3 linked regions of the Saccharomyces cerevisiae S288C genome follow. The gene in region 2 interacts genetically with the main gene of each other region. Each region holds a gene or a part of one and is shown on either strand. Other genes may lie near its edges. The genes, in order: ACE2, CTK2 and CAK1.

What was found.
Region 1: of CTK2 (region 2) and ACE2, a mutation in one rescues a mutant of the other (synthetic rescue), as found in Saccharomyces cerevisiae (one study listed by BioGRID).
Region 3: mutations in CTK2 (region 2) and CAK1 together harm fitness less than expected from each alone (positive genetic interaction), as found in Saccharomyces cerevisiae (2 studies listed by BioGRID).

What each region holds. Positions count from the first base shown.
Region 1 is NC_001144.5:404,726-408,486, forward strand, and holds the start of ACE2 (DNA-binding transcription factor ACE2), read right to left. Parts: upstream 2,098-3,761; coding exon 1-2,097. Other genes in the region: USB1 (phosphoric diester hydrolase), read right to left, coding at 2,558-3,430; bifunctional choline kinase/ethanolamine kinase CKI1, read left to right, coding at 3,720-3,761. UniProt on the Saccharomyces cerevisiae protein: Plays a role in regulating basal-level expression of CUP1. Activates EGT2 transcription in the absence of SWI5.
Region 2 is NC_001142.9:422,524-426,156, forward strand, and holds CTK2 (Ctk2p), read right to left. Parts: upstream 1,587-3,633; coding exon 615-1,586; downstream 1-614. Other genes in the region: YJL007C (uncharacterized protein), read right to left, coding at 175-489; CYR1 (adenylate cyclase), read left to right, coding at 2,634-3,633. UniProt on the Saccharomyces cerevisiae protein: Cyclin subunit of the CTDK-I complex, which hyperphosphorylates the C-terminal heptapeptide repeat domain (CTD) of the largest RNA polymerase II subunit.
Region 3 is NC_001138.5:77,552-81,048, forward strand, and holds CAK1 (cyclin-dependent protein kinase-activating kinase CAK1), read right to left. Parts: upstream 1,611-3,497; coding exon 504-1,610; downstream 1-503. Other genes in the region: AGX1 (alanine--glyoxylate transaminase), read left to right, coding at 1-437; putative ATP-binding cassette family ATPase CAF16, read right to left, coding at 1,793-2,662; GTPase-activating protein GYP8, read right to left, coding at 2,868-3,497.

The sequences.
Region 1 (3,761 bases), on a different chromosome or scaffold from region 2:
AAGTTTCTTGTTGATCGAATGTTCTAATTTCTTACCGCCGGTGCAAATCATCCGACTTCTATGCACCATTAGAGCATCCTCCCTATTAAATCTCTTTCCGCATGGGCAGATGTATTTCTTGGCATTATGGGAGATTTTGTGTCTTATTAAATCATGATTGCGAACAAACGCCTTGGTGCAACCGGGAAAGTCGCATGAATACGGTCTATCTTGCAAATGTGTCTGAATATGCGACCTTATGTTGTATCTACGCTTGAATACTTTGTTACAGTTAGGGTATAAGCACTCGAATAGTTTGTCGGGTAGTTCCTTGACGTACTGGTCAATGGTACCCGGAGGCAGAGTAGTTGGTTTCTTGGTTATTTTCATTGGCGTAGTCCTAGGTATTATTTCATCTGGTAAAGGAGACGTACTATGCAAAGTGGGGCTTTTGTGAATATCATGTGTGACAGGTGGTACTTGCGGATAGCTTTCCACTTCACAGTGACTGTTATTTCGTATGGGTGTCTTAATTTCTAACTGATGATCTGTTAAATCCGGTGCATTTAGAAGCGGAGCTAGGTTACTTCCGTTCTTTGGTGGAGCTTTGACGGGAGTATGTTGAAATACATGTTTTTGTGGCAAAGAATTCTTAATTGGAGTGTTATTGCTGGAACCAGGAATAGGAGGTAGTACACTTGATGACGCTAAAGCGTTTGCATTTCTTAATGTTGGGTTCTGGGTATTTCGCATGTGGATGGGTTCAGTGTCATCCTGCAGTTGTGATATTGTCGAGACCGTGGAAACTACGGATTCCCTTTTCTTGTGGATAGGTGACAACTGTGTTCTAGGCGTGAACGTGCCAGCAGCATATCGATCATCCCTGCTTTTATCTGTGCCGACGAGGAAGGGCGATCTCAAACTATTTCCATTTATCCTTGGAGAGATACTTAGCCCACCCGGGGAAGTCTTTTCGAACAGACGGAATATGTTATCACCAGTACTATTTTTTTTATCATTATTGTTTTTATCACTGGTGTTATTATGGTCATTATAAGTCAAGCCGTCCAAGTTTAAATTATAATTTTGTGGAGAAAATGAAAGCAGTTCAGAATCTCTCAAATAACCACTGTTAGAGGAAAAAAGGTTCAATCCATTACTTTCTGGGCTTTTATTTGGATATCGTTGCCTATGGTATTTCCTGGATGGTGAACCATTTATTGAAGTATTTGACATCCGAGGCGATATTAACGTCGGAGGAGGAAATTGATATCCGCCATTTGCAGAGTTCGTTGTGACGATTATAGCATTATCTTTCATTCTACCGTTTTGCATGGCAGGTGTCTTTAGTATTACTGGAGATCCAGGTTTGGAATTAGAATTTGTAGCCCCAGAAACCAACTTCTGCGCCACCTCTTCTTGCTCTTCTAATACTTTACGCAACTTTTCTTGCTGTATTTGATTGTCTCTCAACTGCTTCTCCAATTTTTCGTTCACTTCCTTTTGTTTTTCAAGAGCAATTCTTAACTCCTCCTGCTGTTTCAACAAAACTTGGCTCAAATAGCTATTTTCACCATCATTTTCCCTTATATGGTCAAAGTCATCATTGTTATTTTTTACCGTATTATGATTACCCAATTCATTTATGAGTTCCATGGGTTGCGGATCTTTAGACATATTTAGAATGGATTGCTGTAAACTGGAAATACTCAATGTCTTATTATGGCCGAGAAATCCAAATATCGCTGTGCCACTTAGACCTCTCTTGTGTGAGGACATTGATTTTTTGCTATAGTGGGAGACTTTGTTGTTTTCATCACCAAGGTTCCAAGTTCTATCAATATTCTTTTTATCAGAAGAACCATCGCCCGTCTTAGGAGAAGGCACTAAAGGAATATCCAGATCTCTTAACTCTTGAGTCAACAGGTCATCGATGTTATAGTAGTCCATACCTAACAAGTTATCGAGGCCATCATCGTTTTCATTATTCAAAATATAATTGTCGGGTGGGGGTATGGTAGGATTGACATTATCATGATGTTGAACATACTCCTCATCTTGAGTGTCTTTCGCGAAGCCTGAGGGATTTATATACCACGGATCTACAACGTTATCCATGATTGTATTAACACCGTTTTTGGTCCTATAGATTTCTTTAGTTATTTCTTGAATTTATGCCTTGTATTTTTTTCTTCTAGCACTTTAACTGTTGCTTGAGTCTCCCTGCAACGTAGCTTTTGTTTGCTAGGTACAATGCCGAGAGAGGTTGTTATAAGTTTATGTGTACTATAAAACCCTTAATGAAAGAAAAGGGACAGAAATATTGCGAGTAAACAAACAGTACTCCCTCCTTAATATTTGCCCGTTAATGGCTAAATGCTTTCTGGAGTTGATTTACTAGCTACAAGCATCCTTATCCTTTACCTGTAAACCAAAAGTGTCCTGAAATTTTCCCAAAGTGCCAATGTTTACATTTTGCCGTTTTGAGATATATATCGTATATTATGACAACCTTCACCTATCTGACGAGCCGCTCTCAGTGCCCCGGTATTTTTGGGCGGCTATTCCTATAACACTATTAGTTAAAAGGGATTCTAATGGAGTGACGGTTTTCATCACAATAGATAGAGTTAACTAAGAACTCTAGTTTGTATGCAAAGTCATTATTGAGTAGTAAAAGCGCCCCCATCGTCTCGTTTAATTGTTGATAACGTTTTAATGTGGCTTTTGAAGGGTTGCTAGCGATGGCAATTGAAACATGTAAATTTTGCCTACTTACAATTAAATCCTGATAGTTTGAAATGCCTGATTTCTGAAGTGCCTCAGCTATTATCGTTTTGAAAGGAGAAATTTGTGCCTTATTGGGACATTCTGAGACAGGGAGACCGAGGTACAAGGTGTTGGCTCGTTCTGATATATATAACTTCGGATATGAGCAGATTTGAAGTTTAAAAGGGGTTATTTCATTATTTCGTAAACCATTACGCATTTCTTGAATGAAAACATGTCTTTGTTCTTCAGTTTCAAACAACAACGATCGAGTTAAGGAAACGTGTAAAGGTTTGGGGGCTCCCAAGTGTGAGATGAACAACGGGTCAAAATCCACCAGTTGATACGGATTAGTGTATTCCTGTTTCATAAATGTTTCTTTATATTTACATATGATTTTCTGAAGTTGTCGGTGAATCGCTGGAGTCGGACGCCACTCAAAATATGTGAACGAACGCCAAAATCGACTCATATTCATATCCTGGTGCTCGTACTTTTGTAAATTCGGAGGGATGTGGTACTTCAATATAATTGAATCCGGTATTGCAGGTAAATCAGTGGAATCGGCTTTCTGTATGCAAGTTTTCTCCGTGTATTCGATTTGGACCTCACTTTTGTTACTACTTTCGCTCTCGGTATCACTACCGTCACTGCTAGAATAGTCTGCAGATATGAATTCCATAGGCCAGTCTTCTTCTAAGCGATTGGTAACCTCCTTCACTTTAGAACACCACCAACAGATCGTTCTCTTGTTCTTTGTTCTTTATGGTATAATATTCACATGGTGCTCTACCGTTTTTCTTGTCGGCCCAGCCGGTTAAATCTCGAAGAGACAGAATAGAAGCTCTGTGGCTGTAAGTAAGGATAAGCCAAATGGAAAAGTTATAGAATTAGGACAACAATATACAGTTTTTTTTTGTACTCTTATAGAATACACACACATAGATACGCACGTAAAATTAGAGCAAAAGATGGTACAAGAATCACGTCCAGGGAGTGTAAGAAGTTACTCG
Region 2 (3,633 bases):
ACTACTGTCTGAACAACTCGTATAAATTAATGTATGATATGAACATTCCCATTGTTACGATAGATGTCCTAATGAGGATCAACTATAATCTATCGAATAGTATTCATATTACTAATATATTATCATGTACGATGTACCAAGATGGCATGAAGATTGAGAAAACAGTCATCAGATTTAATAGATGCTGAAATGCCAGGACTGATAGTGTAACAGAATAATGAATGATATCATATAAATTGGGGAAACAATAATGACAATATTATGTGAAAATATCAATTCTCTTTTGTGGATTACAAGATCCCCTGGAGAACTTCTAGTATGTCCTGTATACCCGGTGCTATATCCTTTAATAACCATGGAATCCGCAAATATTTGATGTAAAGTTTGTTTTTCTTCCCCAACATCCTTTGTATGCTTCAGTAGCTCAGTAGGAAGAGCGTCAGTCTCATAATCTGAAGGTCGAGAGTTCGAACCTCCCCTGGAGCACATTTTCTTTTTTTGTGAATTAAACCTCGAAGCTCAACATTCATGTTTTGAGATAAAAAAAGGTACTTATTACTTGTGTAAAAGAAAGTTTATAATGATGATCTTATTTAAGTTTATAGTAGGACTTTCTATGCATGTCTTGTAGAACTATTTATGCTGGACTCGCCATTAATTAGCTCCAGTGAAAGTACATATCTTCTTTCTTGGACATTATTATCTCTAGTAATAGTGATATAAGGATCGGCATTCAACAGGTGATCTGGTATTTGCGGCAATCCAGATTCTGGTCCTGCGTTTTTTTTCAGTTCCATAAACCTTTCAACGCCAATCGGCAGCAAATCAGCCGGTAAATGACGTTGTAGATCGCACATATCGAATGAATTGATGTAAAAATTGACTATATCAAAATAAGCTTCATTTACGGATTTCTCGTCTGTTTCAAATAAAGAATACCTTTTACTTGACCAATTCTTATTATCTAGTAATTCATATGCTATTTTCAAAATGGCCAATGCAATGGAATGTTGGGGTATGACTAAAATAGTTTCTAGCTTCAAAGCATCATAAGCAATTACCCAAGCCAGATTGCACAACTTATAATCAAAGGATAGCTCCCTACCAATTTTTATAACATATTCATCAATATGAACGTAATTGTTGACTCTATAATCGAATGAGCATGACTCTAATATCCGAAGTTCTATTTGAAATACCCTTTTTTTAAAATTTTCCAAAATGTCCGTATTGATTTTAACCACATTCCTCAATCGTAATGACAAAGTACATATATCATTTGTTTTTTTAATTGTCTCAACTTCTTTACAGCCCAAAGTCAGGCAGCTTGTCGCTACAGTGTAGCAAACCTCGGTCTCGAAGCGATTAAAGAGGTGGTATCTTTGGTAAAAGTATACTGCTGTTTCTAAAGTCTTCCGTGGAAATTTCAGCTGAACACACAAGTCACTTAGAAATTTGAACACGGCAAGTTTTTTCTGGTTGTAATTTCGATAGTCCGATATTGTATTCTTTTGGGCTCTTTGAATTTGCCTTTTAGACAGAAACGGTCTCGAAAAAAAAAGCTGGGATTCAAACGTGCTAGGCATATCAAAGTACGTAATTTTCTTAGTTTTGCTGGCTCTATATCTCCTCTCGCTCTATAGATACAGATATATATATATATATATATATATCTATGTGTATAAAGACGGCTTTCAGGACAGTACTTGTTTGGATTTTTGATCATCGCGGATTTTCGCAATGCAAGTATAAAGAGAGCATTACCCGCCACACAGTGATTCTTCAGCAAGTTGTACCGAAAAGGACCATTTAGGTACGTGGGATCGCAAAGGTTCCCAAACGGTGTGCATCAAGCCGTAGACTTCATGAGTGCTTTCGGTGCAGCAAAAAGATAAGGACAAAAAATACTGAAGGATGCGAGGTTCGAACTCGCGCGGACAACCGTCCAACAGATCTTAAGTCTGCCGCCTTAGACCACTCGGCCAACCCTCCATCTTATTTAAAAATCCTAGGAAATAGATGTTATATAAGTCATACATCATTGAAAACATCAAATACCGTTCCCTGCGTTGTTCTACAGAAAAGCGCATTAGAGTAGGTCATACCCTTTAAAAAATGATTTTGTAAATGCCAGAAAGTAAACAAATATGCATTTCGCCTAGCTCCCAATGTAAATAGCCATAAAAAAGGATAAAATGCCAGATTTAGAGTCAGTTCTCGTTCTTCTTCTTCTCTGTGTTCAATTGTTCAATTGCATTGTTAATCACTGAAATTCTATGTTTCAAATTGGAATGGCAGACTGAACTGAGACCTTCCTTACTTTCTCCTCTATCAAACCTAAATATTCAATCATAACCTTATTTTTTCACTTCCTTTTTCTTACTTTTTTTTTTTTTTTTTTTTTGTATTTTGGAAGGAAAGCAGGGGGGACTTACCATAAGAAAAGCGACTCTAAAAAAGTGTATTTTCTTCCAAAGTTCAGTAAAGACAGCTGGGAAGTATAGTAACAGAGGAGAGAAAGCATAAGGAGACCTCTTGCTGCAGTTCACAACCAAAAATAGCATATCTTTACTATTGTCGCTAACCATTGCGAAACGAGCTAAAGCAACAGCAAACGAAATCCCTAGGTCGAAATGTCATCAAAACCTGATACTGGTTCGGAAATTTCTGGCCCTCAGCGACAGGAAGAACAAGAACAACAGATAGAGCAGAGCTCACCTACGGAAGCAAACGATAGAAGCATTCATGATGAGGTACCAAAAGTCAAGAAGCGTCACGAACAAAATAGTGGTCACAAATCAAGAAGGAATAGCGCATATAGTTATTACAGCCCACGGTCGCTTTCTATGACCAAAAGCAGGGAGAGTATCACTCCAAATGGTATGGATGATGTAAGTATTTCGAACGTGGAACATCCAAGGCCGACAGAACCGAAAATCAAAAGGGGTCCATATTTACTGAAGAAAACATTGAGCAGTCTTTCAATGACGAGCGCGAATAGTACTCATGATGATAATAAAGACCACGGTTACGCTTTGAATTCATCCAAGACGCACAACTACACATCTACTCATAACCATCATGACGGTCATCATGATCATCATCATGTTCAGTTTTTTCCCAATAGGAAGCCATCATTAGCGGAAACCCTATTCAAAAGGTTTTCAGGGTCAAACAGTCACGATGGCAATAAGTCAGGAAAGGAAAGTAAAGTTGCTAACCTTTCCCTTTCAACGGTAAATCCTGCACCTGCTAATAGGAAACCTTCTAAAGACTCCACTTTATCTAATCACTTGGCTGATAACGTGCCAAGCACTTTACGAAGGAAAGTGTCCTCATTGGTACGTGGTTCTTCCGTCCATGATATAAATAATGGTATTGCAGATAAACAGATTAGACCAAAGGCTGTTGCGCAATCAGAAAATACATTACATTCATCCGATGTTCCCAATAGCAAACGCTCGCACAGAAAAAGCTTTCTGCTAGGCTCCACATCTTCTTCAAGCAGTAGAAGAGGTTCAAATGTCAGTTCAATGACTAACAGTGACAGTGCAAGTATGGCGACGTCGGGTAGTCATGTTCTCCAACATAACGTATCTAATGTTTCTCCAACTACTAAAAGTAAGGACAGCG
Region 3 (3,497 bases), on a different chromosome or scaffold from region 2:
GGACACCAATAATGGAAAATTATGAGGCTGGTAAAGGAGCTTATTTTGCAACCCCACCCGTACAACTAATTAATAGCCTTGATGTAGCCTTGAAAGAAATTCTCGAAGAGGGGTTGCATAAGAGATGGGATTTGCACCGTGAAATGAGTGATTGGTTTAAAGACAGTTTGGTTAATGGCTTGCAATTGACATCCGTCAGTAGGTATCCTTCTAACATGTCTGCGCACGGGTTGACAGCCGTATACGTAGCAGATCCTCCTGATGTCATTGCTTTTTTAAAGTCACACGGTGTAGTCATTGCCGGAGGTATTCACAAGGACATCGGACCCAAGTATATCCGTATTGGACATATGGGTGTGACCGCTTGCAACAAGAATTTACCGTACATGAAGAACTGCTTCGACTTAATAAAACTAGCTCTTCAGAGGAAAAAGTGATTACCCTCGTACTTTTCATTTCATATATATATATATATATATATATGTACCTATATATTCTTCTTATTATGGCTTTTCTAATTCTTGCAAGATTCTTTGACAGCTCCATCTTTCGTTTGGTGAAAATGAAACCATCCCCAGGATACAATTAATGAACTTCTGCTTGACTTTGACATCCGCAATCTCGTCCAGTCGAGGCATATTCCTCTCAACAATGCTAATCTGTACATCTTTCTCCTGGTCCAGTACATACTTGCCATCGCCATCTGCACCAAACATACCAACAAATGCATCAACCGAGCCGTGTTGCGCAACCTCTTCCCATTTCTGAATGGACGGTATGCCCAACTTTTCGAATATTGAGCAAATCAGTCTGAAATCGCTTCCATCTGAGTTCATGTCGTCGCTGCCGTCATCAATCATGGCCGGAACGTGCCCCATACGGCTTGTTTCTCTCTGGAACCACTGAGAAATAATTATCAACAACGACCACACGTCCACGCCACCATCATAGCATTTTACTCCAAAAAGCACTTCTGGGGCCTTGTAAATTCCTGTGCTTATATCCGTCACCTTGCTATCCATGGGTTCCGCACTTGTTTGTGAGTTATTTGCCATGTCATAAGAGATGCCAAAATCAATTATGTACAACTTTGGGGATACGGTGCTGGTATTGTTTGTTAGCATGATATTTTGCGGTTTGATGTCGCGGTGAATGATCTTGTTCTCATGTAAGAATGCAATCCCTTCAACCATTTGCCGGAAAAAGGACAAAGAATACCGATTGACGTCCAATTGATTAGTATATTTCTGAACGGGGGGGTCCGCAACAATTGGGATACTGGGATTTAGCAAATCGTAATAGGGATTTTTTTTTCTTCTATCTCTTTTATAGTGCATTTGCATGAACTCATAAAGGTTCATCTCTTCAAAGGGAAACAACAACAATAGGTCATTATTATCGGTAGCCTTAGACTCTAGAAGAGGTAAGATGTGCTTACATTTGTTGCCCAGTTTGTTTAATATCGATACTTCGAATTTGGCGTTATGTGGCGGGATATCGAAATCTAGTGCTAGACATTTAATGGCATATGTATCCGACCTATAAATCCTAGCAGTTCTAGTAGATTTGACCAACTGACAGTGTGTAATGTCTATACTATCCAGTTTCATTAAGATGGGCGTGAATTTTGTTGCCTCTCTTCTTCATCTGGCCTCTTTGCTTCTATGAGACTTCTGTCGTTTTCCTTTTTTTAGGATCACAAACTACTTCTATAACTTAAATAGTCAAATCACATTTTCCACTAAGATACATATTTTCTATACAGGGGGTCTTTGCAGTTATATATACTCAGTTATATACCAATCTCTTTGTCAGGAATTTGATTATCACGTTTCAACCATTCTAGTGCTAATGGATGCAAACTATTCACTTTACTAATAACAACCTTATTGTTGTCATTTTCAAAGGCCACTTGTCCATTAACTTTAGCATTGACCACTTCAGAGAACTCTACGTCTTTCTGATAATCTAAATTATCCACAATCTTACCTGATTTCATATGGTATACTTGGTTAGGCCATTTGGCCAAGCCGTCAAAAATATGTGTAGCGTAGACCACTGAGCATCTTCTGGTTTCGGTCTCCCACTTTAAAAACTCCAGAAGTCTTGCTCTGGCAATAACATCGAGATCCACAGTGACCTCATCAAGTAGTAAAACTCTCCAAGGTTTCAAGAGCCCCATGGCTAACTGAACTCTTCTCTTTTGTCCATCACTTAACCTGTGCATTCTCCAACGTACATCGATGTCCAGGATTCTAACCAATCTTTCACCTCTTTCCCTAAAATGATCGAATCCAATACTTTTTAATAGTTCCAAGACGCCGATATCCCTATTAATGATACTCATATGGCACCATTCCGTACCTAGATAAGTGGTCGTTTGGTAGTTCGTCGAATCTTCAACACTTTCATCATCGTCCACTTGATTCATAGATAATGGACTGAATGGATCAAGACCATTGACCAGGATTTTTCCATCAAGGCAAAGATGCTTACCGCTTAGTAATTTCAAAAGGGTGGATTTACCAGCACCATTGGCACCCACAACTAAAGATCTTGTATTCCATGGGATTTGAAGATTGATATCAACAACTGACGGATCGGAGCTTTCTTTGAATTTGTACGTTAGGTTACGCACCTCAATAGCAAATTGGGAAACCATCTTGAGAGTTATCTAATATCTTGATATCTTATGCAGGAGTACTGGTTTTCTCCATACTAAAAATCTCTCTTTCAGAATTTTCGTTTTTTCTTATTTGAGTCATCCTCGAAGAAATTTCCGCAGCGAATTTTAAAGAAGCACTTTATAATAATACCTTACATATGAGTTTGTTTCTATGTCATGGGTATATAAGGTATATTGTATGCTATCTAGTTGGATGCCCCAGTTTCAAAATGTCCCTAATCGGATCCACCCAGATGTGACTAACGTGGTGCAAATTTATATTTATATGTGATAAGTCTTTCAACTTTGTGGAGATCATGTAACGTAGATTGAGTACTAAACTCAACGACCTTGTAGTCCGTAATTGGTACAGGATAGCTACAATCCCGATAAGTAAAGAAATTTTGCTCCACCTGTTATATTTGGAGGGTAAAAAATGGCCAAGTCTTTGGACCAACGCCCTTGTCTTGGATCTGGCGGCGACACCATGATACTTTTCTTCCTTGTAATGCTCGTTCATCTTTGTTTGTTCGCTCAAATAGAAGATAATGGTGCTCATATCGAAGCATCCTGGCTTTCCACATGCTGTATTGAGTAATGCACTATATTTATTAAGACTCACCCGTTTCAAAGCCTTCTTGCTGGCAGTAGTCGCATCTTTTCTAGTTATTTGCAAGACTTCTTCCCAAAGCGCCTCATCATACAGTTTTTTCTGTAAAACTGTTTGTATAGCACCATGGCGCAGGTCAAAATCGTTCTCGAAGAAATCAGAATTAGCTTCTATTTGCTTCGAAATTTCAGACGCATTTTGCAATAGCAGGTTCTTGTATAT